Bombyx mori: one gene and its partners. The main gene of each other region encodes a partner of the protein of the gene in region 7 in a complex. Links are inferred from orthologs where the notes say so. Each region holds a gene or a part of one and is shown on either strand. Other genes may lie near its edges.

Region 1 (2,989 bases), on a different chromosome or scaffold from region 7:
CGACGTCGCCCAAAACACGTCATTTCGGATCCTCCCGATCCACTAACGGTGCTTTTAGGTACCCCAAGCACCGGTCATCGTTCTCGTCGAACCCTTCGCTTGCGACGAAGGGCTTGGCAAGTAAATGAATCCACAGACAAAGCCCACTGAGTTTCTCCCCAGATCTTCTCAGTGGGTCGCGTTTCCGATCCGGTGGTAGATTCTGCGAAGCATGGCTCTTGCTAAGGTTCATGTTGGCAACGACGCCAGGTTTGAGCCCCGTGATCTCACCTACTAGTTGGGTGAATCTAGAATAACCCCACGAGATCACTACATAGAATAGTAACAATATTTGTCTGATTAATGTCATTAGAAAGATTTAAAGTTCGAACCTCTCAAGTTTAACATTATTAACAATCTACCTGCCAGAGACAACTTTCTAAAAAAATCTCTTGACTCTATGTCCCTACTTAAAACATAACTACCAGACATTTGTCATAGAACAACTAAAAACGAATGAGTAAAATGTACATATTTATTTAATAAAAAAACACAAAACAGTCAACTTAGTTCATGTCGTTCTCATCCCTGTAGTCTTTCTGTAAGCACTGAAATGTTCTAAATACTGATATATTGTGTCTATTGGAGTGTATATTTCGTTCATTCTGCTTATTAGATGCTGAGGAGGTTGGACCGGAACAGTTGGCCCTAACAATCCTTGAAGGAACTCTCGAAGCAGACCCCAGACCGCATTAGCCATTACGCATGGTCTGTATTCTACCTAGAAATTATAGAACATATTCTAATGATACTGTGAATAATATCAATATAGTCTGAGATATTGAGGCAATGACAGAGAGTTAGGGAAAAGAGAATTGATAGATTGAATTGATTGATAGATTGACTCCTACACATCCAGTCTAGTCTATGCAACAATATGAAAGTCTAGCCGTTGCCCCTTGGCCAAAAATGTGTTTTGAGTATTAATTAGCACCAGATAGACGGTGAGCTCGAACATCTAATACTAAGAAAACTCAAAAAAAAGAGATGCCTAATGTATGCCTGACAATTAAATTTCCATAGAAAAAATAGCTTCATATTGTTATAATTATCAAGCCTATTCAATCCCCAAAACTAGGTATGACCTTTGGGCATATTTCTGCCACAAGGCACCACCACGCCACCAAGGTGTTCCACTTTAAATAATAGGTAACAGTTATCTAATATAATTGGCACTTCAACCTCATGTATTAAGGTAGCCAATGTCAAGTATGATATAATTTTCATGGTCCCTAATATTCACTACGCAAATTTTGAAAACTTTGACAACAACAGCAATCTATAAAAAACAAAGATTTTTTTAACATAATATTACGGAAGTATTCTTTTTAGGAACGTATTTCTCCATCTATCTTTATGTACTATTATAGATATAGTGACGGACGTTCTGGATGCCTCCAAGTGTTCACATATATTAACATAGCTATTCACTAATTATTCAATTCACTCACCTCAATCAAAATCCCTTTAAAATTCTGATTCATAGTAACTGATCCGAGCTTCACACAGAAATCTCCGAGCTCAAACCTAGGTCCTTTGCTCTCGATTTTGGTTTGTTTCTTAGAAGTATAATGCTGAGACAACTTCATCATTAACAAGTCAAATAGTCCGTCAGCTATGACGTGAATATTTTTCGTGCCACTTTCAAGGATTGAGAAGACAGACGCAGGCTGCTCAGAGTTGTGTAATATATGTACTGTTTTTGTTGTACCTGGAATATTTGAGTTACGTTTTTGCTGTCAGAAATTTTAAAAGCAGCATTAGACAAAACTTTAGGTAAGTGTGTTTCGTATTGTTAATTTCCACAAGCGTATGCAAGTAATGGTAACCGTTAAGTGGTCTGGCTGAATTTGATGAAAAGATAATAAATATTGGTATCAGCATCTCATCAACTTTTCAATTCAACTATCAAGTACACGATTAGCTTTGGTTTTTATAAATTCCTTGCATTTTATTTTTTATTGCTTAGATGGGAGCTCTCATCCCACCTGATGTTAAGTGGATGGATGGTGGTTACTGGAGCTCATAGATATCTACAACATAAATGCCCCACCCACCTTGAGATATAAGTTCTAAGGTCTCAGTATAGTTACAACGGCTGCCCCACCCTTTAAACCAAAAAGCATTACTGCTTCACAGCAGAAATAGGTGTGATGGTGGTAACCGTGAGGACTCACAAGACGTCCTACCGCCAGCAATTACACAAATTATAACTTTGCGGGTTCGATTTTTATTACACGATGTTATTCCTTCACTGTGGAAGTCAATCGTGAATATTTGTTAAGTACGTATTTCATTCGAAAATTGGTACCCACCTTCGGGCCACATAGGCCACGAGGACTTTAAGTACAATAAACTAGCTGACACCTTTGTAATGTCTGAAATATTTTCAAATATGTCATATCCATGTATTGGCGATGGGCTGTGTGATTTCTCTATAAATCGCTAAGTGGAATGTGTCTTTCTTTTTACTTTTAGCTTGGATTCAGTAAACACGTACCCATGAGTGGATGTGATAAATAACTCTCGCAATCAACCAGGAACTGTCCTTGTTGTGTCGCCCCTAATGCTAAGATACGCTTTGTAAGTAACTCCACTACATATGTTCCGGTCTTGTTCTCTGGCACTGGATATTGCTGTAAGCTGTCAAGTTAATAATTGAAACAGTTTATTAAATATAATCCACTCTTCACGATTTTTTTATGGTAGATTTTGTAGTTGTATCAAAAACATAATAAATAGATTTGTTTCGTTATTATTTTTAATGATACTCTTCCTTCAGTCTGGCCAAACTGTGTCAAAAATAAGCTACACTAACATGTATTTTTATTCGGGGATAGTTTTCATACACCGGATAAGGTTAAAGAAGAATTTGAGATAACGTATGAAGTCAAGAAGTTTACTTTCTACCTTTACATAGAGTTATTACTTTTATTAGTATTAGTATTAT
Region 2 (4,022 bases), on a different chromosome or scaffold from region 7:
GGACAGCATATGCCTATATGTGAAGGTTGGCTCACCATAATGTTTTTTATGCTAACCAAATTTGTTCTAAAATAAACCATTATTTGTGAACTATTTCACGCGGACGATGTCGCGGTCAAAAGCTAGTCTTGGATAATTGGATAAATCTAATAAGAAGCAAAACAGAAAAAATGGGCTAAATTAGAAACTGATTGGTTAAAAGAACTACCGTTCTAAAGGTGGGTAGACAACATAAAGGCCATTGCAGGTTCTACGTGGAAGAAGAAATGTCACGATCACGACAAATTACATTAATAGTATGTACCTAAATATGCATTAAGATTGTTAATAAAGGTTTCTTTATCTTTATAATTAGATTAATTGTCAGAAACAATAAGTAGCTCTGCAGTCTGTTTTGCACCTACTGAGAGATTGCACAAGCTCCCGATACACTCACCCGAATCCCTTGAGAGTAGGAGAGAACCGAAGCATTTGTATTTTTTCAGGGATAACCGCATCTGATTTTTTATCCACGGCCACCACACGACGTCCATTGTGGAAAAAGGCCCCTTGGATTATGTGTTCTCCTGAAATATTTTGTCATTTATTGACAAAAATGAAAAATAAAAAACAAGAAAACATCTTTATTGATATGGCCTTGAAAAGAATCTTTATTACATGTTTATAACTTATTAAGATCTATTCAAAGAAATATTTTTAAAAGCCACCACTCATCATGAGACATGGGACCAGAGTCATGTTGCAGTGACAGCTATCCCAAACATCAATTGGAGCCACATTATGTCTCATGATAGAACAGACAGGGCGATGGTACCAGAATATGAAAATGTTGACTATCTAAGCGTTTAAATAAGGGCTGAATTAAGTTTGCACTTAGAGAGCCATCTGATCTTATATGTTCTTAGGTACCACAAACAACCCCTATGCATAAATCAATTAAAAAAGTTGACTCAAAATTACATTAAAGATTTTAAAATAGCAATGCATTTAGTGTACGACAACATCAGAGAAGTGGCAGTAGTCGTAATGCTTTAAGATAAACAATTTTACTAAAATAACTAGTTTTGTACTTAGGTAGTTAAATTTTTATCTTACCAGGGAAGTTAGCACTGTAAAGACATGTCCAATCATTGAGGAGGAAGTCTTTCTGTCCATAGACAGACACATCACCCACTGTAGTGGCTACTAACAACTGTTTGCCTTCCAGGTCCCACTCTAGAGCTGACACCTGGAATTTGTATCCATTATTTTATTAGAACATAGTTGCATAAAGAAACAAAGTTGTAAGAGTATTTCCATACAAACTTTTAGATAGCTTAATGTATTTTTCCGAACCTATAGACCGTATAAAATAGTATGGTCATCATTTGAGTATAAAATTTGACAGCAAACTTCAAAATTTTGGCAGCACAGGGTTTGAGAATCACTGCTATAAACTAGTTTTTAGATCATTTTGTTAAATAATTGAAATTGTTGATGTGGATATCAATTATAAGTAAGAAGCATATATCATCACAAATACTAAGTTATGAAGAAGTTACAAATATGAGTAAATCATATCTGTAAATCATGAGTAAATCATATCATAACCACAGTGAAATCAATTACTGTAGATCCTAAAATATTGATAATATGAACAGATTGACATTTGATAGCATTAATGTAGATGTGTGTAAGGTTTAAAGAGTCTCACTGAATATTTCTCCAACATAATGATGGTAGGCAATGACGATCATCTGACACTGTTTATCATCTCCCGTAATTGTTTAACTCTTGGTGAGTGAGCTGGTCTGTTCACTTATGCGAACAAAACCTGGCCACATAGGGTTCTAGTCTACTATTTGATATGGAAACTCATTAATAGTGTTAATACATAAAGAGCTCATTTGGTTGTAAAATTATACCACTTTTGAATAACTGATCTGTATCACATAGTTTCATTATACTTTTACTATTTCACACTTACAGGATAAGCTGTACTTGTAACTTTGTGACTGTTCCATGGGGTATCTAAGTCACATACATACACATGACCTCCCCATGTTGCTCCGTCCACATCACTAAGCTCTGTCGGTGATGAGAATGCTATGATATTTGCACATGATATTGTACATATTGGTCGGACTACTTCAGAGTCTTTTACACTAGAAATAGACAACATTATTAAGCATTGAGTTTATGTAACACCAAGAAACAGAAATAATGTTTTACAAACAGAACACAGAACGCATGGGACTATTTTAAAATACTTGAATTTTATGTAGATGTGATAAGTTCTAAAGTCAGCTCTTTTTATAATATACATCCATGAGCTGAGCAGTCTCCTATTACTTTTCTCCTTAATTTGTTATTTTTATCCTTTTAGTGTTTTCTTATGATGGAAGGCATCATGAACAACGGTAACTTAAAAAATAAGTTGATGTTACTGCCGTTAAAGATATCTTAATTTGTAAACTCTTGTTGCGAGGAGATGGTCACGACCCTCAGTATTGAGGAAACCGAAGCAAGAAGAAGAAGAATTTGTAAACTTTAGTAAATTTGGATAGAAATATAAACTTTTGATATAAATTTAAACTATTTACTTTTCGAAGTGCGGAGGTTCACATTTAAGTGGCTTGCGTCTCATAGAGTATATTAGCTCCATTACAAACTACCGCGGACTGCGGTTAGCGATTTGTGAACGAAATGTTTAATGTTTATTAAAATACGCATGTAAAGCAGGTTGGAAATTTGAAGTTAATAAGATTGCAAAAACTTTATTTGTTGATACCTATCACGTCAGTTTTTAAAATGTGTCAAAATGACAATAACGTTTTATTATTGCTTGGATCTGAATTTATATATTTATTTGTGGAAGTACCAATTGTATGTAACGAATGATAAAAGGATTATACGTATTTTTGGTTGGCACGGATTATATTTATTTTTTAAATGTTTTGTCTCCTAGCGATTTCGAATTTCATATTGTATGTCAGAATTTCCATTGCCAATTCCATTTCTCGTTTGACAGAAATCAACGAAGTGTACTAACTTCAGGGCGCTCCGTTTCGTCCCGGGCAATGCCCTTTCAATATCGAATTGTTTCCGAACGTAAGTGGACATGAAAATGGCGGATCGCGTAGTATCGCTCCGAATTCGTTATCTGTGAACTTTAACATAAATATTTTTGATTTTATGTGAAAATGTGATAGTTATGAATTAAAACCTCTAGTGCAGTGGTCTTCTATTGGTTTGAACCATGTTTCGGACAGGGATCGTAGCTTACGGCGTGAGAAACTGGATATTCTTGTGGCTGTCGCTACATTTGTTTACATACGTTCAAGGTAGGCTCCTTTCATGTAAAATACGGCATTTATTATCGATCCATTGTCTTCAAGTAACTGTGAGCTTGCCTGCACATGCCAAGTTAAAATATTCGAGAACTTTGGCATAAGTCATTTAAAATAAGGAAATTATTTACATTTGGATTTAGTTTCTGAAGCGTTTTATTTACTATCTTGCAAATCTACCTAATTTAAGTTTAGTAAGTATTTATGTCTCTCTGACGCTTTTAGAGCGGTTGTTAATAAAATTTATGAGGATGTGTACGGCTTGGGCGCGGTATATATTTTATTACTTTTGGACTAAAGTTATGAACTTTTAATAGAAAATATGTCTTCTTCAATAATACTTTCTGTTTTACGGTCAAAAGTGAAGTTTTGTTATTTTTAATTATTCTGTTTTTTTCTCTGGATAATTTTATTCGATCCTTTGGATTTTTCTGATTTAACTTTATAATTTTGTACTAGTATTACTACATACATAATTATACTTATCCAACGTCTCGTATATTTTATTAAATTGTAACTTTTACCTGCCTATTTGCTGGTAGTATAAGGGGCTATTCCAACAACACACGGACGGGATACCTATTGTAACACACACTCGACAATTAATGGCTGAAAAAACAAAAAGTATTAACTTTCAATATGTGATCGCGATATATGGGATCTTATGAGATAAAATTATAAATATGTACATAT
Region 3 (4,152 bases), on a different chromosome or scaffold from region 7:
CTAGGGGCAATAGTATCCGGACTAAGTTGTCTTAAAGCTCCAAACACTTATACAACTCCTATGAGTAGTATTAGTTGTAATATATTCCGGTGCTATCGGGCCTCGTGATCGTTGATATATTTTACCTACCCATTCGTTGGTAGCCTAAGGGGCTATTCCAGGAACGCGCGGACGTGTATGAGTTCACTGGCTCCACCTGAGAGAGTTTGCCAACACTGGCCCTGGCAAGAGCAATGTTTCGTTAAAACCTACAGGATCAGAATCGCAACCCACTGAGAAGAACTGACGAGAAACTGTTTGGGTTATGTCAACAGGCTAGTTCGCACTTCCAACTCTTAATCGCAGAGTTCGCGTGCATAGATATCGAAAAATAAATTTGGAGGTTAAATTTTTGTTCAAATATAACAAAACGATTATGTGGAATAAATTTTTTTATTATGTCATTTCTATGAGGATATTTAAATAACATTTGAATTAATTCTACAAATATTTTTTTCATAATAAACACAAGCATCAGTCTTTTTAACTTGTTGAGTTGCACTACACTTTTAATCAAAATGAAGTCCACGGTTTTTCTGTATTCATTGTGAATCACTACTTGAACTTGAACTGGAGTCTGTGGACATAACTTCAACATCTTCTTGGTTGGGAGCATCCTTCCCTCGGCCATCAATAGCTACAGAGTTACCGCCTCCAACAGACATGTGTAGCTCGCCTGATGGATGCCAAGTGAATTGGCTTGAAGCTGAAGCTGGTACTGAAATAATATAACACAGTAAACCTGATTAACAAGCAAATGGTTTTACATGTTTTTTTTACCTAATGCAATTAACAAAAGGGTAAAATGTTTCTGTAAAATTCTGATGATAAGAATATTCTTAAATAATTTCCATGGGTTATGGGTTTTGAAGGAAGCCTCTGTTGACAATATTAATAAAAAGAGGTGGCAATAACATAGGAGATTTTTTTTATTCTTTACAAATCCTATAGAAATTTGATCATTAATTCAACTTTCCTGAAAAATATTATTCTTGTATATTTGAGTTTAATACAGTGGTCCAAAACATGATATATCTGCCAAAGCACTTGCTGAGTAGTTTAGGTGTTTGGTGTTCCCTATCACCCACTTCTCTCATAGCTATTAATAACTATGATAATACATGCTTATTGTAGATGAATCAAATTAACTATAACGATAAAGTACCAATACTAGAATTGTATAAATATGTACTGCACAAAGAGTTCTATACATATGCAACTTGTTCTAAGAATGATTCATTAATATAATGAGTAATGCATTTATACCTCCACCAGTTGTTATACGATGAAGTTCATTCAGTGTAGAAGGCGTGTGACCATTCAATGGCAGATCACAGAGGCGACCGAGCATTCCTAATCTCATTTCTAAATCAGTTGGATAAGGCCGACGAGGATCACCAGGTTGCCACGACAAAGGTGCGCTGACAGCATTAGATGCACTTATTCTGTAAAATATCAGTAAGTCAAAAAAAGTTTTTTTAAGTACTATTTAGTTCTCACATCAAAAATAGTGTACTGTCTAATATTTAAAAATTCTTTTTAATGTAATTTAATTAAAGTGTAACTCTATAGTTATGAAAGAAACTGTTTTCTGTAGATAGTTATTTTCATAACATTGTTGGCTATTCAGACACAATACCTAATATCCATTCAGACTTTTTGCATTAATAAACTTAATCAACTGTTAATATACTAAACATCTCATTGATTTATTTGTTAGTCAATGTGCCTACTATCATTGTCTCACTGTTGTCATTGGTCAGGTTTGAAATCTCTGTTGAGATCATAAATATTTAATATTCAATATTTAGGAGTACTCATCATGTGTTTTAAGGACCTGACTCAGAAAAAATATTTAATTTCAATGTAGAAATCTTTAATTGTTTACTAACCTGTGTGCAAATTTGATCAACTCCTCAGAGGGTACAGGTCTCTTTCTAGACTTCACTATTGATGCAAGTTTCTGTCGAGCTTGATACAGTGATGTAGCCAGAATTTGTTCTGCATCTTTCAATTGTCTTTGAAGGTGATATATATCTTGATCCTTAGTAACACAACAAAAACATTTCAATTACATAATTCGCTTGTGGCTTAAATTGTTGTGAACTAGCAGTGGATGAGTCAGTCCACTCCAAAATTTTATCCATTTTTTACTTAAAATAAATCTCTTTTGTAGTATTTACCTTACTATCTACTTCAGCTTTGAGTTCATTCATTTTCTGTTGGATCTTTGCTTGTTCGTCAGCTAGGTCTAATGTTTTTTTCAATTCTCCATGTTTTGATAGAAGTAGGTCCGTCAACTGAGCATGATCTGCAGCGGACACTTTCTGTGGTTTTGGTGCTATGGAAACTTCTATTATTTCCCTGAAAATTTAAAGAATTAGAACATGAAGTTGATCGGTAATGTTTTCCACAGTTCAATCGTGTTTTAACTCACTTAGCAATAAGTTCGATATCATCTATTAGTGCCAATAAGCGATCTTTAGTACTTAAATGTGACGCCATAGCTCTATATAGCTTAACAGCTTTTTTTAATATAAACGATATGTATTATTTCCTTATATCATATGAACTGGACAAACGACCCCCCAACGCTGCGACTCTTGGGATTTCTTGTATCAAAAACGCTACTATGTACGTGGTAACTACATTCAATGTTTACAGTAAAAATAATAACATTGTTTGATGTTTCCAATACAGCAGACGACAAACGTGAAAGTCATAGACTATGTTCCACAGCAAGCACAGACTAATAATTAGTAGAGCCTTGAAATATTTTTCTCTATGATATAGAGAAACTTATTCTCGTACTTTTACAGTTTTTCTAGTTTTAAAGTGAGTTTCAGTATAATTTATATCTACAAACTTTGTTTTATAAGGCCGTAGCCTATTTACGTTATAAGAAATAAAATAAAATTTACTACTGGTAACGAGATGAGATGATTTACTTTTTCTTATGAAGATGGGTGAATGACCTCAAGGCCTATTAGTAGTTACCGGAGCTTAAAGACATCACAAAGTGATTGCTGCCCCCAACTTTAACTTCACTTTTCTATTTTACACTATAAAGTGTGTTCCACCCTTTAAATCAGAATGCATGATTACTTGGCGGCAGAAATACACAGTACGCTGGTACCTACCCATGTAGAGTATTGTAGAGTCTAGTTATTATGATATGATCTCTCAGTAAAATCGTGTTTATTTCCTGAGACGTTAATTGAAAGACTCCGAAAAACCACATGTAGCGATTTCGTTTCATTTTTCTACCCGTTGTGCACTTTCATGAATTTGAACATCGTTTGGTCATCATTCATCGTTCTCGTTGAACCCATCGCTTGCGACGAAGGCTCGGCTAGTAAAATAACCCACAAATAAAGCCCACTGAATTTCTCGCCGGATCTTTTCAGTGGGTCGCGTTTCCGATCCCGTGGTAGATTCTGCAAAGTATTGCTCTTGCTAGGGTTAGTGTTAGCAACGTCGTCAGGTTAGATCCCCGTGAGCTCACCTACTTAATAAGTTACACTGACATAGCTCTCAAGCTTAGATAAAAAAAAACCATTTCACAGGTTCAGAATATTTGTCAGAAGAAATACAATATTGGTGTAATAAAAATATTCTCAAAATAAAGGACATCTGATTCCATCAAAATTATTGAAACACTGCACAAAAAAAATTATTCTATTAATTATTAGACTTGCGAATACTGAAAAAGGATTGAAAGATTGTGATATTGATTGTTATGGTTTATTTATAATTCGTAATTATTGGCGGTATAGCGTAGGTTGTAGATACGTATCTACGACCAAGCTTCCTATTATTGCCACCTACCAGTTATTCGTTTCGGTATAAAGGGCAAGATAATAGACAAAACAGTTGAGACTTCGAATCCTTAATTCAATCAAAATGGATGGTTACTTACACGCTGTGATGCTCATATTATATCTTCCGATAATCAGTCAATACGGAGTTAAAGAATGGTGTTGTTAGGATGTCTTGTGAGTCCGCACGGGTAGGTACCACCATCCTGCCTATTGCTACCGTGAAGCAGTAATGCGCTTCGGTTTGAAGGGTGTGGCTGACGTTATACTGTTAAAACTGAGACCTTCAAACTCA
Region 4 (4,294 bases), on a different chromosome or scaffold from region 7:
AAAAAAACTAATATGAAATGAAAAATACATATAAACATACATAAAACAATAACTTAAATACACTTTTTTAAAGTGACAGGAAATGTTTCTTCATTTGACTCTTAGAAACTTCTAGAGAGGAACTAGCACAAATAGGTTGAGGGAGAGAATTCCATAATCGCACTGCTTGTATTGTGAAATTGCATTATCATCATACTTGTTTAAGTGGTGGGCAAAATCTTGGGCATCTCTGGTGGGCATCTTTCATCTTTGTCAAAGTAAAGTCATACCTACCTTATATGAACTAATAACTTAGGATATGTGTACAATGGTCAGAATAATCCCACCTGTCTTTTCTGTAGATATTCACCAATGACTGGGGTCTAGAACTGTGAGTAGCTGAGTGTATCCTGAGTCACTGACGTGTATAAGTATTTTTGTTATGAAGAAAACAGGCATGCCAGTTTGAATTATAAGATGCCTGCCTGCCATACAACTGAGACTTCGGGCATGTGTTTTGGGTCAGGTGAAATAAGATAAGCATGTGTGTCTAAATTTTATTGAAGACAAATTGTTTTTCACTACAGTGACCCGCATCTTTTTTCAACCTCTAGAAGTTAAAAATGGACTACATAATATGAATGAAATGTTTATTAAAATCTGTCAACTGTTTAGGTAATTATGATAATTTTCTATTGTAACTTTTACTAACCTGTAGATCTCATTGACTCTCCTTCCCAGTCTTCGCGGCCTTTGGATATAATTTCCCAAACGTGACTGACAACTTTAGTGAATTGAGCAATGTGTTTCTGGAATATAAAACTATTATAATCCATACATCATCCATCTATATAATTGTAGGTAACAACTACACAACATTACATGAGAAAGTGAGCTTGTTATAATTGCATGTCTTAAGTACTCAACTTGATTATCATGCTAATTTTGCAGACAAATCTTGATTATATAAAAGAACTTATTATACATAGTTTAATAGAATTCAATGATGATATGATTGCAATGATACTGAATGATGACCATGACCACCCTGACAAGTGATACAACAAAAAAAAGAAAGAATTGATACATACTTCAACCAAATATCTCAAAGCAAGAGGTTGATTTAACTCTGTGATATCTATGGGTCCCAGCCACTATATCTCAAGTGAGCTGTGGGTTTATTCACTCAACAGTGCATTACATGTTTTAACCCCAAATATATCTATTTTTTTACCGTTTACAATGAAAACTAATTTAGATTGCGAAGTCTACAAAGAATGTCATAAAAAATTAGCCCAAATAGTTATAATGGATATTTTTCCTTGTGGTACATTAAACCTTATGCTTCTTTAAATGTTTCTGATATTTAAAATTAAATGTTAATTATTGTCTATACCTGTGCTGTATCATAGCTTAAAGTACTAGCTTTATGATTAAATTGCTGGAGACGCTGTTCAGCCTGGGGTTCAGGTTTGGTACGAAGTAAATCTGGAACTAAATCATGAGTGCAAGCTGGAACTCTGCCTTCTGTCAAATGAGCCAGTGTTTCATCACGTTCGCAACTTAATTGAAGTGGTAAAACAATTCTAGACCGCAATGAAGCTGCTTGTTCGGCTTGGAGAATTTTACTGAGGCCAGTCAGCTGAAAATAAAGAGTTAATAAAATTTAACTAAATAACACATGATCTTTAAAGTGAAAAGCTTATGTACAAATGCACTTAAATCTGAAAACAAGTCTCAAAATGGGATAATACCTAATAAATATCAGTGACCACGCTAACCAGGTTACATCAAGTGAGTTTTGAACTCGTCAGTTTTTGTTTCACTGTTTTTTCAATAATAAATTAATTATCTTTCCTACTTCAAGTTGAAATCCATCTCTGTAGACTTGTTGACTATTACACACACTATTTATGCTATGAATTTCAATATACAATTGGACTTACGTGACCAGATAAAATCGCGTAATTATCTAGAAAAGTTGGCCAATTTATTGTCTCGTATTCCGTTTCTAGTTTATTTATCAATGCTTGTATTGCAGTTTTTAAATCATTTACTCTATTTAAAATCGCAACTATTGTAGCTTCTAGTTGCTTTTCTTCTCGCTGCTGCATATTCATTGTTGTAAATGGTAGGTACACAATTGTAACTTTTTAATTCTCTTTGTTAGATTTTAATAAGGTTTAGGTACCGTACCTTACCTAGCTATTAAATAACCGTAAGGGACTAAGGGTACATAAGTAATATATCTCAAAATGGTACCATACGGTACCTACCGTACCGTAAAATGGGGCGATTAGGGACAAATTCCAACTTTATGAGCAATTTTAAGGTAGTTGTTGATGTATATAATGCTAAATCAGGATCAAAATGATTGAGTCTTGGGGGCATCTTTGTTGTCTAATTTAAAATTATGCAACTAGCATTCCAGTTTAAGCAAAAAATGCAAAAATAGGTGTAATCCCTATTTACCCGAAAATTGCGGTTAATTGGGACGAAACGAGAAATTTGCTAGGGTTGGCACTACTTTTATTTTTATATATAGTTTTAATTTATTTATTTATTTAGTTGCACCAACAAAGTGATCATCAATAAAAAAAATTGAAAAACTGACAAAAGTACATGGCAGACATCACCTCAATTATAGGTGCAATCGACAGTGCTGATATTTCTATCTGGATTAAGAGATTAGGTGTGTCGGTTATTCCATGGATTAATCAGATGAATACCCCCACTCTGAACAAATATTAAATATGTAGCAAACCGACCGGTACGTCACTCTCGCGGCCGTATGCCCGCTCGCTATACATAGTTAGTATCTATGTCAATCTTGTAACAGTGTATAATCTATGTTCCGGGCGCTTCCGTTTTGAGTGTGAATAGCGTGCGCCCGCGTCTAAATGTAATTATTGTTTAAAAATTGAAAATTGTTTGTTATAAAGGAAGATTAAAATTCGAAATTCGATATTGGTGACTAACCCATAGTTTTAAATACCCCTGAGATCTACCCCTCACTATATCTGGCTGCCCAACGTTTCCTAATTTTTTTCTTGCTTGGACTAACAAAATGGCGCGCACGCTTTTGTGAAAAATTTGCTAACTATTGTATGCTGTTGGTGCTTAATTGTAAAGAATGCCTTTAACTAGAAGTCAAGATCGCCAGCAACGTCGCGAAGACGACGTTATTCCTGCTGCAGATGCAAATGCCAACGAAAATCACGAGGAGCATGATAGCCCCCATGATCGCCCCCACGCCGAATCACGTAGCAACAATTCTACGTTCAACTTGGATGATGTTTCAGCGTTGATGGCCTCGCTGCAACGTTCGCAGGCCGAAACATTTAAGAACATTATGTCGTACGTGATGGAACAAAGATCGTCGACTCCGGCACCTCCGCCGATGCCCCCAGTGAACGTAGATGGTACCTTGGCGCGTTGCAGAGCTTCTTTCAGCGGTGCACCTGGTGAATCTGTTGAGGCCTTTATAGATGCAATTGAAAGTTATACAGAATGCGTTCAAGTATCTGACGCTAACATCATACGAGGCCTAGCCATGCTTTTGTCTGCTGACGCAGCTACGTGGTGGCTAGGATTAAAGCATCACATCTCCACTTGGAACGAAGCCAAAGAAAATTTAATATATGCATATGGCACCCGCCTTCCACCACATAGAATATATTTGGAAATATTTGTTTCCCCGCAGGATAAAGAAAACACAGACAAGTTTGTTGCTCGTATTCGTGCGCTTATGGCAAAGCTACCGCGGGATGATATTGCTGAAAAAGTACAACTTGATATGATATACGGGTTGCTTCATAATAGAATACGCACAAGATTGCGCCGTGAAGAAATCACATCTTTCAATTCATTATTAAACCATGCTCGGAATATAGAAGATTCGATAGAGGAGACTCAATCGAGACCAGTGTCGTCCACTAGTGGTGTGCGTTCGATCCGTGCCCAGCCGGCCCAGGCTGCGAGTCGGCCTGAACCGTGCGCCGCTCGTGCGAGTGCCCCGGCGCCGCGCGCGCGCTTTCCAAACTCCGCCGCGGCCGTCGTGCCCGCCACCGCTGTGCCTGTCGCTGTCGCCCAGCCTACCGTTGCCACGCCTGCCGCTGCTGTGCCAGGTTCTGCAGAGCAATTCGTGACCACGAAGAAACAGCGTCCAGTGTGCTCCTACTGCAAACGGTTTGGACATGCACGGGAACAGTGCCGTAAGTTAAACAACCGAGGTGAGCAAAGTCAATCTAACTTTTCCGAGGGTGTGCAAAATGACAATAATGCGTTTTATAGTGTTCAGTGTAATGTTAATAAT
Region 5 (3,500 bases), on a different chromosome or scaffold from region 7:
ACAAATCCGCGCCTATTAATAAGTCAATCGGCTGACTATCATAAAACGTTGGATCTGCAAGTACAATGTTATCCGGTATGGTAAACAAATTAACGTTATATGTCTTCATAGGTAAGTTTGATGTGATATGAGGTAGAATTAAACACTGAATGCGTGCAGCATAACTACCAGTGCGTGATTTGATCTCAATATCACAGGATTGCGAACACTGTGTTATTATATTACCTACGCCGTGGATTTTTTGAGTGGACTGTAATATTGGTGGATTTAATTTGTCACAAAGTGTTTGTGTGATGAATGAACGTTCGCTGCCACTATCGAGTAGAGCGCGCGCTTGATGGTAAACACCCGACTGGCTACGTATTTCTACAATAGCTGTGGACAGCAAAACTGGTTGCGCTGGATGCATGTTATCAATTGTGTCAGTAGTTTGCGCCTGAAAAGAGTGTGCGTTCGAGTTATCTTTCGTATTAGACGGGACGGCTGATTGTTCACAAGATGGCAACGTAACTTTAGGGAAACTATGATCATAATTTTTAATTACATCGCAAATTAATGAATTATGTTTTTTATCACATTTTCGACACGGCCCGAACACACAGGTGTCAACAGTATGTCCTGGACGCATGCAATTAGGGCACAACTGTTTAGTTTGGATAAATTTTAATCTATTTTGTACACTAAGGTCCAAAAACTTTTGACATGAATATAGCGGATGTAAATCATTACACATTATACAGGGTCTGTAATTACGTGCATTCTTTCCTTGTGATTTATTATTATTATTTGGTTTATTTGAAACTATATTGCAATGAAATTTAGATGTTAACTGGTTACTGCATTGCTTTTTATTATTGTCTGTCGCGCTATATACGCCTGCTTTACTGTGTGATACTATAAGTGTTTCCAAAATATCCGCCCTATTTCTAAGAAACTGAAGTAAGTCATTTAGTTGAACTACAGTTTTGGTGTTATTGGTTGATGTAATTAAACTACACTTATGCTGTTCCCATTCCCGTTCGGTAATGGAATCTAATTTTGTGACAATAATGTAAATGATTAACGTATCCCAATACTCTGTAGGTTCTCCTAAAAGCTTTAAAGCGCGAAGGTTTTTTAAAATATTATCAATTAATCTGCGTAATTGCACTGGTGATTCTTTAGTCAATGATTGCATGGTAAACATGGATTTGACATGGTTATGTACTAATAGTTTCGTATTATCAAATCGATTTAACAGTAGTTCCCAAGCAACTTTATAATTATTAGCAGAGAATTCTATGGAATCTATGACCGATTTAGCGTTACCGGACAAAGACGATTTTAAATAATGAAATTTTTGAATTTCTGTAATTGTTTCACTATTATGTATCAATGACAAAAATGTATCGCGGAACTCTAACCAGTGCTCATATAAGCCGTCAAAGGTGGGAACAGATATAGTGGGTAATTTAATGCTTTTGGAACTTGTAATCGGTGGTTCAGACATCATACCTTTTGACTTTTCATCAGCGGTGGTCAGACATTCAGCAAGGGCAAGAATATTATAATATTTTTGCTCGAAATCTTCACGCGATTCTAATTGTTTTTCTATGTCGATTTCTACACTAATGTCTTCTATTTGAGTCTGAACGAGGTTAAAATCATTCATTAAACTTTGCGATCCTGCCATCCGCAGTTTGAGCTCGGTACGTTGATGAAGAGTTAATTCTACACCTTCGAATGAATTCACGTATTTTCCAAAGTTAGTCAAACGACATTTAATAGATGCGCGTTTTCTTTTAAGATCTTTCATCATTAATTCTACCTTATGATCTGATGTAGTCATTGTGGAAACAAGTAAATGGTGGTGTACTTACAGTTTTTAAATAATAAAACAAAACAGCTGCTCAATATTAGTGAAATACGTACCCAAAATGAAAAGCAAAAAAGGTTTGAAGAAAGCACAGTACTACTATATACGCGAAGGGGAAAAAATTTAGCAAATTTTGGTTAGCACGCCTTGCCAAAGCACCGTAATCTTGCGAAGCTGGTGAGATTTTCCGAATTTTCCTTTTCAATGGCCGATGCGTCTCTCAAGTAAGCGTCTGGTTCAACTTAATTGATGATCCGGTGCTGAAGGTCCAATAGAAATGTTGCGTCTATTTCTTAGATGTATCTTGAGGTGGCCAAGAAAATGAATAAATGCGTTTACTTCTTCAAATACTCATTATATTGTTTTTAATTAATTTACAAATATAGAATTGAAATGCGCGTCCATCTTTTTTCTTCGTGTTGTAATAATTTTAAATTTTGGCAATTGGTGCCACTGTTGCGTTTCCTGTTTTGTGATTGGTTCGTGCGATATGACGTCATCGTTGGCCAATCACAGCCATCAATGTATCACGTGACGTTGATTCGTTAACATTAACAATTTGTAACTTTTCGGGATCTATTCTTATTTCAGTGAAAAATTTTAACACATTGTTGATAACAACACGTACAAATATTATTTTGAATAAATTCTGCCGGTTTGATACAAAACAAAGGAGTAGCCATTGTGTCACTAAAGAAATTCAGAGAACGAATACATAAAAGCACATTTATCTTCGACATAATGTACTATAATTTGCAGGTAAGTACAAATGACTCATAACATAACAATGTACCACCACTCTTCGTATACCACCCCGCCGCCGTGTACCTACCTGCCTTCGATAACTCATTTGTTTTTATCGATAATGACGTTGCGCCCGCGCAACATGCTCACCGCCCTAGCTGGGCTATGTTTTATGACTCAAACTGCACGGACAAAATAATTCTACTATAGTGGGTAGTTATAATGTTGTTTTGTTTACTAGTGTAACGTTGTAACGTAACCACAATAATTCGCTGCAATTCTCGTTGTTGTAGCACATTAGATGTAACACAGAATCCAAAGCTGCGATCGATAACTTACCATGAAACTTATACAGATATCCCAAATGTTCCAATAGCTGTTCTAGATATTTAGCAACTTGATGTATCTCCAGATGTCTATGTACGACTATATCAAAAACAGGAATCAATCTTAAGCAAACGTTACTCAAATAAACGGGTATGGGTGCGCCATATGCACCACTCGCTTCTTCTGGTGTGAACTTCTCGGGATATTTCCTTTGAAATGCTAAATGCTTTTCGTACCTGAAACGTATTTTAAACAATAAATAAATAAAATATTCTAAGATCTATTTATATATACGTATGTAAAATTTGTAATAAAATTGGTTTTTCTCTATTTTCATATTACTTTTATACTAAACACAGGCATCGTTTCTAAACGAAAGTACAAATAAGGTACCTAATGGAGTAATATATTATTTACGAGTTATTGTATTGACATAGAAACTTAGTACAGTATACATATATACATATTTACCAATTATTTTGTTTCCAGTGTTCTGGTGAGTTTTCCTTAACGAAATCTTGAACCCTGTTTCTTAACTCAAAACCATGAAGTAGCAACAGTTGAATGATGTAGA
Region 6 (4,253 bases), on a different chromosome or scaffold from region 7:
GCAACTGCTGCTCTTTTGATTTTGGCATTGAGGTAGGATGAATTTTAAACAGTAATTTTCTTATTATCTGACACATCAAAATTGCTCTTTCTTGAAAATTGTCTATTTGAGTTAATTCTAATTCAGTAGGTGATGTTAAAAATTGCTGAACCATATTCATGGGTTTTATTGATGCATCTTGATGGACAACATTGATGTATGAACAAAGCCATACTGATGCACACACTGCCAAGGAAGCCATTTTTTGTCTTATAGAATCCAACATTCTTTTAACATCTGTTGCCGAAAGTAGACCTTGTTCCCAAGCAAAAAGAACCTCTTTGACTGCACCAGTGATATTCATACAAAGATCATGAGGTTTGACATTAGTATTTTTGAAATCAAAGTCAGGAGCACTCAAATGGTGAATGATAACATCAACAACATGATCACATTTCTGAAGTATCTGATCTGAAGATTTATAATTTCCTTTATGTACCATACAATCCCTTACCCATTTCTCAAAAAATGAATCACCATTTTCTTCTAGAACAACATCAGCTCCATAATCTTGGACTATCCAACATAAAAGCAAAAATGAAATGTCAAATATATATACTTTTGATTGTGGTGCACCTTTTTCACTTGCAGCAAACAATGCAAATTCATTAAACTTAATGAGTCTTGACACAAACATTTTTAGTTTTCCTTCCACAGTTGCAACGGCCAGGATGGTATCCAATGTAGTTCGACCAACTATTTGGCATAGCATGATATAGAGCGACTCTTGAGTTTTGTGAAATTCACCACTCAATGCTTTTAAAATCTCTGCCAATGTAGGTTCAACACGAGTTATAAATAATGGGACTGAGCCTTGTAATCCTATTGGCTCAAATTTTTGTAAAGGATGATCAATAGTCTCACGTTTTTGTTTAAAATATGTCAAAGTATTATCTGACAGAACATTAAGTTTAACTAATGGCTCTATAAGTGAAATAACACTATTACAAGAATTCTTCGTATCAACAATATCCAGGAGTGGAGCTGATTGTAATAACATTTCAAAAGCTTCCACAACCTCAGTAGAATATTCACTTTCCTTATTTGTTGTCCCACACATATTATGGAGGTGATTTATCACTTGTGGAACTTTTAGAAAAGTGAATGCAGCCCACAATGATTGCTTCGATGCATCATTACTAGAATCATTTAGTGAAATGAAACAAGCTCTAATAAGTTCACAGTAGAGACGTGACAATGAATAGCCTTTTATTTTCTGAACCATTAGTAGTTGGCTGGAGATCTGTTGCATGCCTGCACTAGGGTTTGAGAACACATTTATAGCTATTAAAGCCTGCAGACAATAGGTTACAGCTTCTGGTTTATTGTTTAAGGGTGCTATTTTATCCAATTCCATATTGCAGATTTTGTGTAAAGTGACATGTATGGTCATCGGAGGTTTGAATTGAGTGTTCATCATCATAAATGCTGTTATCTCTTGACATTTCTTTGTCACTTCGTTATACTCATCAGGATCATTCTGCTTGGCCAAATAGAACATTGCAATCAGAAAATCTGTATTAACAATAGAGTTCAGTAAAACTGATGATTTCTCCAATAATTCCTGACTTTGAACAGAACTTGAAGCTGGATACTTGGTTAATGAATAGTGAAATACTTGTAAAAGCCACAATATTATAGATGATACAGCATAAGCTAAAACTTCTTCTTCTAACTTGCCTCTGCATGTAATACTCTCCAAAAAGGTTTCAAGGAACTCCAACAAGCTTATTATACAATGAGGTTTGTGAAAAGCATCAAATTTTGCGATTCGTTGTAACACAGCCGCGAAAGAGACCAAATGACACGCAAGTGAATGTTTCAAATACGATATCACTAACTGATTGGCCCCACAGCCTACCATGGCTTGTTGAAGAATACAATCAGCCAGATTATATAGGTCACCACTGACGCCCCTCGGCAGTATAGTTTTGATGTTGATGCCCCATTGAATATCAGTCCATCGTTCTTTCCAAGCTTTTAAAATTAAAGCTTTTAGTGAACTAGTTTTACTCGTTATTTTGGAAGCATCCATTTTTATTGTATTTTATTAGAGCACAATAATGTTTCTTTCTTACATTTCACACATTTTTGACGTGATATTAGTCGTTTAAACAACACTTTACTACTAGTCTTTGAGGTTACAAATTACATTTTCTTGTTCACTGTTGAATATTGAAATTAATTCGTTATATTTGTGTGGCATATTAAGTTTATCACATTTTTAAAGATATTTTATTTATAGCGAGCATTTGAGAATAAACATTACTTTATATGATCAAACTTGAATAATAATAGCCCAATCACAAAATAGACATTTTTTTTTTTTTTTTTTTTTTTTTTTTTTTTTTTTCTTTTTTAGCTTGCACTGTTTGTGCATTTAGCCACATACAAGGGTAAAGGTAGGGAAACAGGAGAAAAAGGAAAAAACGGATAATTAAAAAGAATGGATCAGGTAGGTATTTATATACATAATTACAATTTGATATTATGTTTCAGGATAAAATTTGAAATACATAAATAAATATCATAGTTCATAGTACACAGCAAAGTATTAATAGAAGTCGGGAGTGGAATACCAAGGGATGTTAATAAATCAATAAATGAGGAACAGTCATTTAAGGAGCACGCGAAAAAAATATGATTTAAATTGCCAACATCAGCGCCGCAATCACACATATTGTTATTGACTATACCCAATCTAGTCAAATGAGATGGAGTGCAAGCATGACCCAGTCTCATCCGGATTATGATAGTAGTCGTGATCTTATTAAATCTAAAATTGTAAAACCAAGGCTTGGTAGGAATGACAGATTGTATTTGGGCATAATTCTTTCCTTTATATTGACTAGAAATAGCCCATGTTTGTCCCCAAGATTCGCGCAGGTCTGAATTCGGAAGACACAAAAGATCATTTATGAAGATTTTGTATGGATAAATATCTCCACAATCCACAGCATCATTGGCAAGTTTATCAGCAAATTCATTGCCAGAAATACCCACGTGACTAGGAATCCAGGCAAAAATTACATCGAAACCTTTTAAATTACATTCCCACAGTAATTTTCTACAATCTACAATAACAGGGTAATTGGCGCAAGATTTGAAAGGAAATTTCTGAAGTGCCTGAAGCGCACTTTTGGAATCAGAAAAAATAACAGATTTATGTAATTTCATCAAATTAACATATTCTATAGCTTTAAATAATCCGTAGCATTCCCCAGTAAAAACAGAGCTTTCTGGTGGAAGTTTAATTTTTTGGACAATTTTTGATTGTTGATGATAAACTCCAACACCAACGAGACCAGAGGAAGAATTTTTAGATGCATCGCTATAAATGTAATGTCGATCTGACCACTCTCTATCTAAGATGATATTAAAATCGATATTGGCAGAAAAAATAGATCGAGATATATCTAAGGTAAAATGAATTTTAGGAACAAGAGTTAATGCTTCATATTCAGCAGAAAAAATAGAGAGACGATGAGACATGTGAGTGGGGGCAAGCAAAGAGGAAAATTTACGAAAACTCACGACTAAACAAGGTAGAGACTTGTGCCTCCAGTAGGGGGAAGATGAAACTAAATGTGATAAAGTAGATAATTTGGTATGAAGGGGATGCTTGGTAAATTGTAGAGCACGGAACAGAAACTTGTCACAAAGATATTGACGACGGAGTCGCAGAGGAGGGTCAACACACTCAACTTGTAAAGCATTGATAGGACTAGATTTCATTGCACCGGTTATTAAACGGAGAGCTTTTGATTGTATGCCATCAAGCTTATTTAGTCCGACTGCATTACATGGTTCAAGAAAGTAAGTACCATAATCTAAAATACTTCGTATGAGAGCGTTGTATAGGAGCTTTAGATTATATGGATGTCCACCCCACCAGACTCCAGTTAAACATCTCATAATATTCAAAACTCGTTCGCATCTAGCTATAACGTAATAACAATGTGATAAACCTGATAATTTGGCGTCTAGAATAACTCCTAAAAATTTTATTTCATTTTCAGATGGAATAAGTTCATTATCAAAATATACGGAAACAGGAGGAGGAAGCCGCATTCTAGAAAATAACACAATGCAACTTTTTGAAACAGAAAGATTAAGAGCGTTGGAGACAAGCCAAAATTTAAGTTTGGACAGTGCTCGACTTAAAAAGTCACTTAATTCTAAAACAGATCGCCCTGAAACGTATAAAACTAGAT
Region 7 (3,500 bases):
GTTATGAGGGTGGTGGCAATCACCTCTTTTTCTCTCTGTATACCAAAAATAATATTGTTTATGTTTTATTTGTCAGCTGTCGAACTCGAAAAGGTGTTGATGTTCGAAGTGAGCGCCCTCTCGTGGCAGCACATTTCTATATCGTTGGAACATCCGCTAGAAGAATGTATGGCCACCGTCGAACTTGAACTGTCGGATCCGGCCTCGCCCCGCGCGTCTGTGTACACGCTGAACAGTCCGGCTCGAGACCACATCGACGACTACATCACCAGGGTGCTGCAAAAGAGTCATTCTATACCAATAACGTTAAGGTGAGATATCATTATAAAGCAAATTAAAAAAAAAACAATTATATTTTGCTTTTTTCATTGGTTAGATTCTAACTCTACACACATAAAATAAGAAATTCTAGAATATTGTATTCTTCATAGAACACGATGCTAAAGATCAAAAGTCAGCTTCGACATAGTTAAAGTTGCTTGACGGGCGCAACGTGATGTATCGTAATTTTTTTTTATCAAATGTCCAATAATTTGTATGAAAACGTATTGGCTAATGTTTTTTTTTTTTTTTAACACTGAAACTCCTCGATAACTGTTAAAGAAAAATATACAGGAAATCGCTTGACGGACAAAGGAATTCTGAATTCGTCGTGGCCTAACAGATAAGACGTCCGGTGCATTCGTGTTGAGCGATGCACCGGTGTTCGAATCTCAGGTGGGTACCAATTTTTCTAATACGTACTCAACAAATGTTCACGATTGATTTCCACGGTGAAGGAATAACATCGTGTAATAAAAATGAAACCCGCAAAATTATAATTTGCGTAATTACTGGTGGTAGGACCTCTTGTGAGTCCGCGCGGGTGGGTACCACCACCCTGCCTATTTCTGCCGTGAAGCAGTAATGCGTTTCTGTTTGAAGGGTGGGGCAGCCGCTGTAACTATAGTTGAGACCTTAGAACTTATATCTCAAGGTGAGTGGCGCATTTACGTTGTGGATGTCTATGGGCTCCAGTAACCACTTAACACCAGGTGGGCTGTGAGTTCGTCCACCCATCTAAGCAATAAAAAAAAAAGGAAAAAATGTCACATGGCTTTTTTTTTTTAAATACTATCTCGCTCGTTTCAGGTCTCTCGTCAAGATATGGGAGCGCGAGGCCGCAGCGAAGCAGATGAACGGCGGCTACTCTGCCCTGGACTCGAATTTTAGTTGCGGCGTCGGCGGACTCGACCCCGGCGGCGAGCAGCTCAAGCACGAGCCCGCGCACCCGCACCGCGCGCTCTACCCGCACCCGCACCACGCCGGTAACCATGCCTCCCCTACTCTTATACATAACATTACAGATCTCTCTCTCGTATATACCTAGTCTTGCCATAAATACTATTATTTTAAAAATAAAAAAAATTCTATTGCAATTTTTTTTTTTTGCTCTTGTAGGCAGACGAGCATACGGCCCACCTGATGGTGAGTGGTTACCGTCGCCCATGGACTTCAGCAATGCCAGGGGCAGAGCCAAGCCGCTGCCTACCGCTTAATACTCTCCACAAGCCTCGTTTGAAGAAGGACATGTCATAGCGCTCGGGAAACACCGTGGAGGGGAGCTCATTCCATAGCCGGATGGTACGTGGCAAAAAAGATCTCTGGAAACGCACTGTGGATGACCGCAGTGGCTCCAGGTAGTATGGATGAACTCTACTCCGGTGGCGGGCGGTGCGATGGTAAAAACGAGATGCCGGTATCATCTCGAACAATTCCTCAGAGCACTCCCCATGGAACATACGGTACAGAATACAGAGGGAACCGAAGTCCCTCCGCAGACCCAGAGGCTCCAAGTAATAACATTTATTACTTTTACAGTGTGTTAGTTTAATACATAAATATAAAACAATTTAAAGTATAAAAAGCTTATTCGAAGTGGTCTCCATTGGCTGCAATACAGTTCTTTAAACGTTGAGGCCAGTTATCAATAGAAGCACGCACTCTTTCCGCGGGAAACATTTTCACTGCCAATCGTACGGATTGTTTTAGGGACTCCAAATTATCATGGCGTTTAGAGCAAGCCGTACTCTCTAAAACTGACCATAAATCATAATCCAGCGGATTAAGATCAGGACTAGACGACGACCAGTCTTCAGCTCTGATGAAGTCCGAAACGTTCGTTTCCAACCAAAACTGCGTTGACCGAGCTTTATGACCTGGCGCCGAGTCTTGCTGGAAGGACCATTCTTGATTATTGAACATGGTGTTGTTAAGGGGCTTCACTACCTTCTCAAGAATGGTATCTTGATACACTTGTACCGATGTTTTGATACCTTTTTCACAAAAGTATGGCTCAGTCACTCCTTCATAGCTAATACCCCACCAAACCATCACTGAAGTCGGATAGTGCCCACGTTGCACTCTGTCGACTAATTGGGAAGCTTCCTTAGAGATTTGAGCAGAAATACAGTAATTTTGTTTGTTAAAATGTTGCTCAATTGTAAAAAATTTCTATGACCGCCCTTTGCTTACCGCTTCAGTTGTTGTTTCGATTTTACCACCCTATTCTCTTTTAAATTATCAGTTAAGAAATGACCAGTACGTCTGTTATAGGCTGCATGCAAGTACTAAGTCATCTTTTAAAATACTCGACATGGTTCTAGGTGCTATCTTCATCTTCCGAGATAAAATCTTTTGCTTTCGGACAGGATTTCTTCGAATTCTTTCCCTTACTGCTTTGACCACCTTTTTCGTACGAACACTACGTGGACGGCCAGATCTTTTTCTGTCACAAACAGAGGAGGTCTCATTGCACCTATTAATAGCCCGGCACACAAACATTTTACTAATACCAAGCGTATGGAGAGTTTTAAACATTGCATTTGGCTCCATACCTACTTTGTGTAATGCAATCACAGCGATTCGGTTCTCTTTATCACCCCACTCCATTTTAATATCGCAAAATATTGTACTATGTATTGGCGCCAAAATGAGAAAACTCAATGAGCAATCATATAAAAATGACAGATTCCAAATTCAAATGTAATATTTTGTTTATTTTTAATTGTAACAGTATTTATGGCCAGACCAAGTATATTTCAATCGATAGGTACACCGCCTGAAATTCGTTTCCCAAGATACTTGTCCACCTGATGTTACTATAAAGAATTCTCTCTCTTTCTTTCTCCTCTGTCTCTTTTTTTTTATTGCCCATGTAGGCAGACGACCATACGGCCCACCTAATGGTGAGTGGTTACCGTCGCCCATGGACTTCAGCAATGCCAGGGGCAGAGCCAAGCCGCTGCCTGTTGCTCTCTCTCTCACACACACTCACTCTCTCTCTCTCTCTCACACACTCACTCACTCTCTCTCTCTCTCTCTCTCTCACACACTCACTCACTCTCTCTCTCACACACACACTCACTCTCTCTCTCTCACACACACACACACACACACTCTCTCTTTCTCTTTCTAACATTTTCTATATTTAATTGCACCACAATTTAACTTAATACTTC

The links.
Region 1: mediator of RNA polymerase II transcription subunit 1 (region 7) and mediator of RNA polymerase II transcription subunit 20 share a complex: the UniProt entries of both Drosophila melanogaster proteins name them as parts of the mediator complex. The link is inferred for Bombyx mori from reciprocal best matches to the Drosophila melanogaster genes MED1 and MED20.
Region 2: mediator of RNA polymerase II transcription subunit 1 (region 7) and mediator of RNA polymerase II transcription subunit 16 share a complex: the UniProt entries of both Drosophila melanogaster proteins name them as parts of the mediator complex. The link is inferred for Bombyx mori from reciprocal best matches to the Drosophila melanogaster genes MED1 and MED16.
Region 3: mediator of RNA polymerase II transcription subunit 1 (region 7) and mediator of RNA polymerase II transcription subunit 4 share a complex: the UniProt entries of both Drosophila melanogaster proteins name them as parts of the mediator complex. The link is inferred for Bombyx mori from reciprocal best matches to the Drosophila melanogaster genes MED1 and MED4.
Region 4: mediator of RNA polymerase II transcription subunit 1 (region 7) and mediator of RNA polymerase II transcription subunit 8 share a complex: the UniProt entries of both Drosophila melanogaster proteins name them as parts of the mediator complex. The link is inferred for Bombyx mori from reciprocal best matches to the Drosophila melanogaster genes MED1 and MED8.
Region 5: mediator of RNA polymerase II transcription subunit 1 (region 7) and mediator of RNA polymerase II transcription subunit 23 share a complex: the UniProt entries of both Drosophila melanogaster proteins name them as parts of the mediator complex. The link is inferred for Bombyx mori from reciprocal best matches to the Drosophila melanogaster genes MED1 and MED23.
Region 6: mediator of RNA polymerase II transcription subunit 1 (region 7) and mediator of RNA polymerase II transcription subunit 24 share a complex: the UniProt entries of both Drosophila melanogaster proteins name them as parts of the mediator complex. The link is inferred for Bombyx mori from reciprocal best matches to the Drosophila melanogaster genes MED1 and MED24.

The regions. Positions count from the first base shown.
Region 1 is NC_085134.1:1,809,452-1,812,440, forward strand, and holds the end of mediator of RNA polymerase II transcription subunit 20, read right to left. Parts: intron 2,683-2,989; coding exon 2,540-2,682; intron 1,751-2,539; coding exon 1,491-1,750; intron 761-1,490; coding exon 551-760; 3' UTR 501-550; downstream 1-500. UniProt on the Drosophila melanogaster protein: Component of the Mediator complex, a coactivator involved in the regulated transcription of nearly all RNA polymerase II-dependent genes.
Region 2 is NC_085108.1:235,489-239,510, reverse strand, and holds the start of mediator of RNA polymerase II transcription subunit 16, read right to left. Parts: upstream 2,801-4,022; 5' UTR 2,645-2,800; coding exon 2,583-2,644; intron 2,145-2,582; coding exon 1,967-2,144; intron 1,229-1,966; coding exon 1,096-1,228; intron 567-1,095; coding exon 437-566; intron 1-436. Other genes in the region: neogenin, read left to right, coding at 3,239-3,323. UniProt on the Drosophila melanogaster protein: Component of the Mediator complex, a coactivator involved in the regulated transcription of nearly all RNA polymerase II-dependent genes.
Region 3 is NC_085112.1:8,189,583-8,193,734, forward strand, and holds mediator of RNA polymerase II transcription subunit 4, read right to left. Parts: upstream 2,801-4,152; 5' UTR 2,545-2,800; coding exon 2,477-2,544; intron 2,404-2,476; coding exon 2,223-2,403; intron 2,084-2,222; coding exon 1,932-2,083; intron 1,485-1,931; coding exon 1,306-1,484; intron 758-1,305; coding exon 582-757; 3' UTR 414-581; downstream 1-413. UniProt on the Drosophila melanogaster protein: Component of the Mediator complex, a coactivator involved in the regulated transcription of nearly all RNA polymerase II-dependent genes.
Region 4 is NC_085118.1:10,646,257-10,650,550, forward strand, and holds the start of mediator of RNA polymerase II transcription subunit 8, read right to left. Parts: upstream 2,801-4,294; 5' UTR 2,100-2,800; coding exon 1,926-2,099; intron 1,622-1,925; coding exon 1,376-1,621; intron 789-1,375; coding exon 692-788; intron 1-691. Other genes in the region: uncharacterized protein LOC134199859, read left to right, coding at 3,113-4,294. UniProt on the Drosophila melanogaster protein: Component of the Mediator complex, a coactivator involved in the regulated transcription of nearly all RNA polymerase II-dependent genes.
Region 5 is NC_085107.1:8,828,202-8,831,701, forward strand, and holds part of mediator of RNA polymerase II transcription subunit 23, read right to left. Parts: coding exon 3,398-3,500; intron 3,163-3,397; coding exon 2,939-3,162; intron 1-2,938. UniProt on the Drosophila melanogaster protein: Component of the Mediator complex, a coactivator involved in the regulated transcription of nearly all RNA polymerase II-dependent genes.
Region 6 is NC_085113.1:5,802,057-5,806,309, forward strand, and holds the start of mediator of RNA polymerase II transcription subunit 24, read right to left. Parts: upstream 2,801-4,253; 5' UTR 2,075-2,800; coding exon 1-2,074. UniProt on the Drosophila melanogaster protein: Component of the Mediator complex, a coactivator involved in the regulated transcription of nearly all RNA polymerase II-dependent genes.
Region 7 is NC_085114.1:6,968,256-6,971,755, forward strand, and holds part of mediator of RNA polymerase II transcription subunit 1, read left to right. Parts: intron 1-76; coding exon 77-311; intron 312-1,131; coding exon 1,132-1,307; intron 1,308-3,500. UniProt on the Drosophila melanogaster protein: Component of the Mediator complex, a coactivator involved in the regulated transcription of nearly all RNA polymerase II-dependent genes.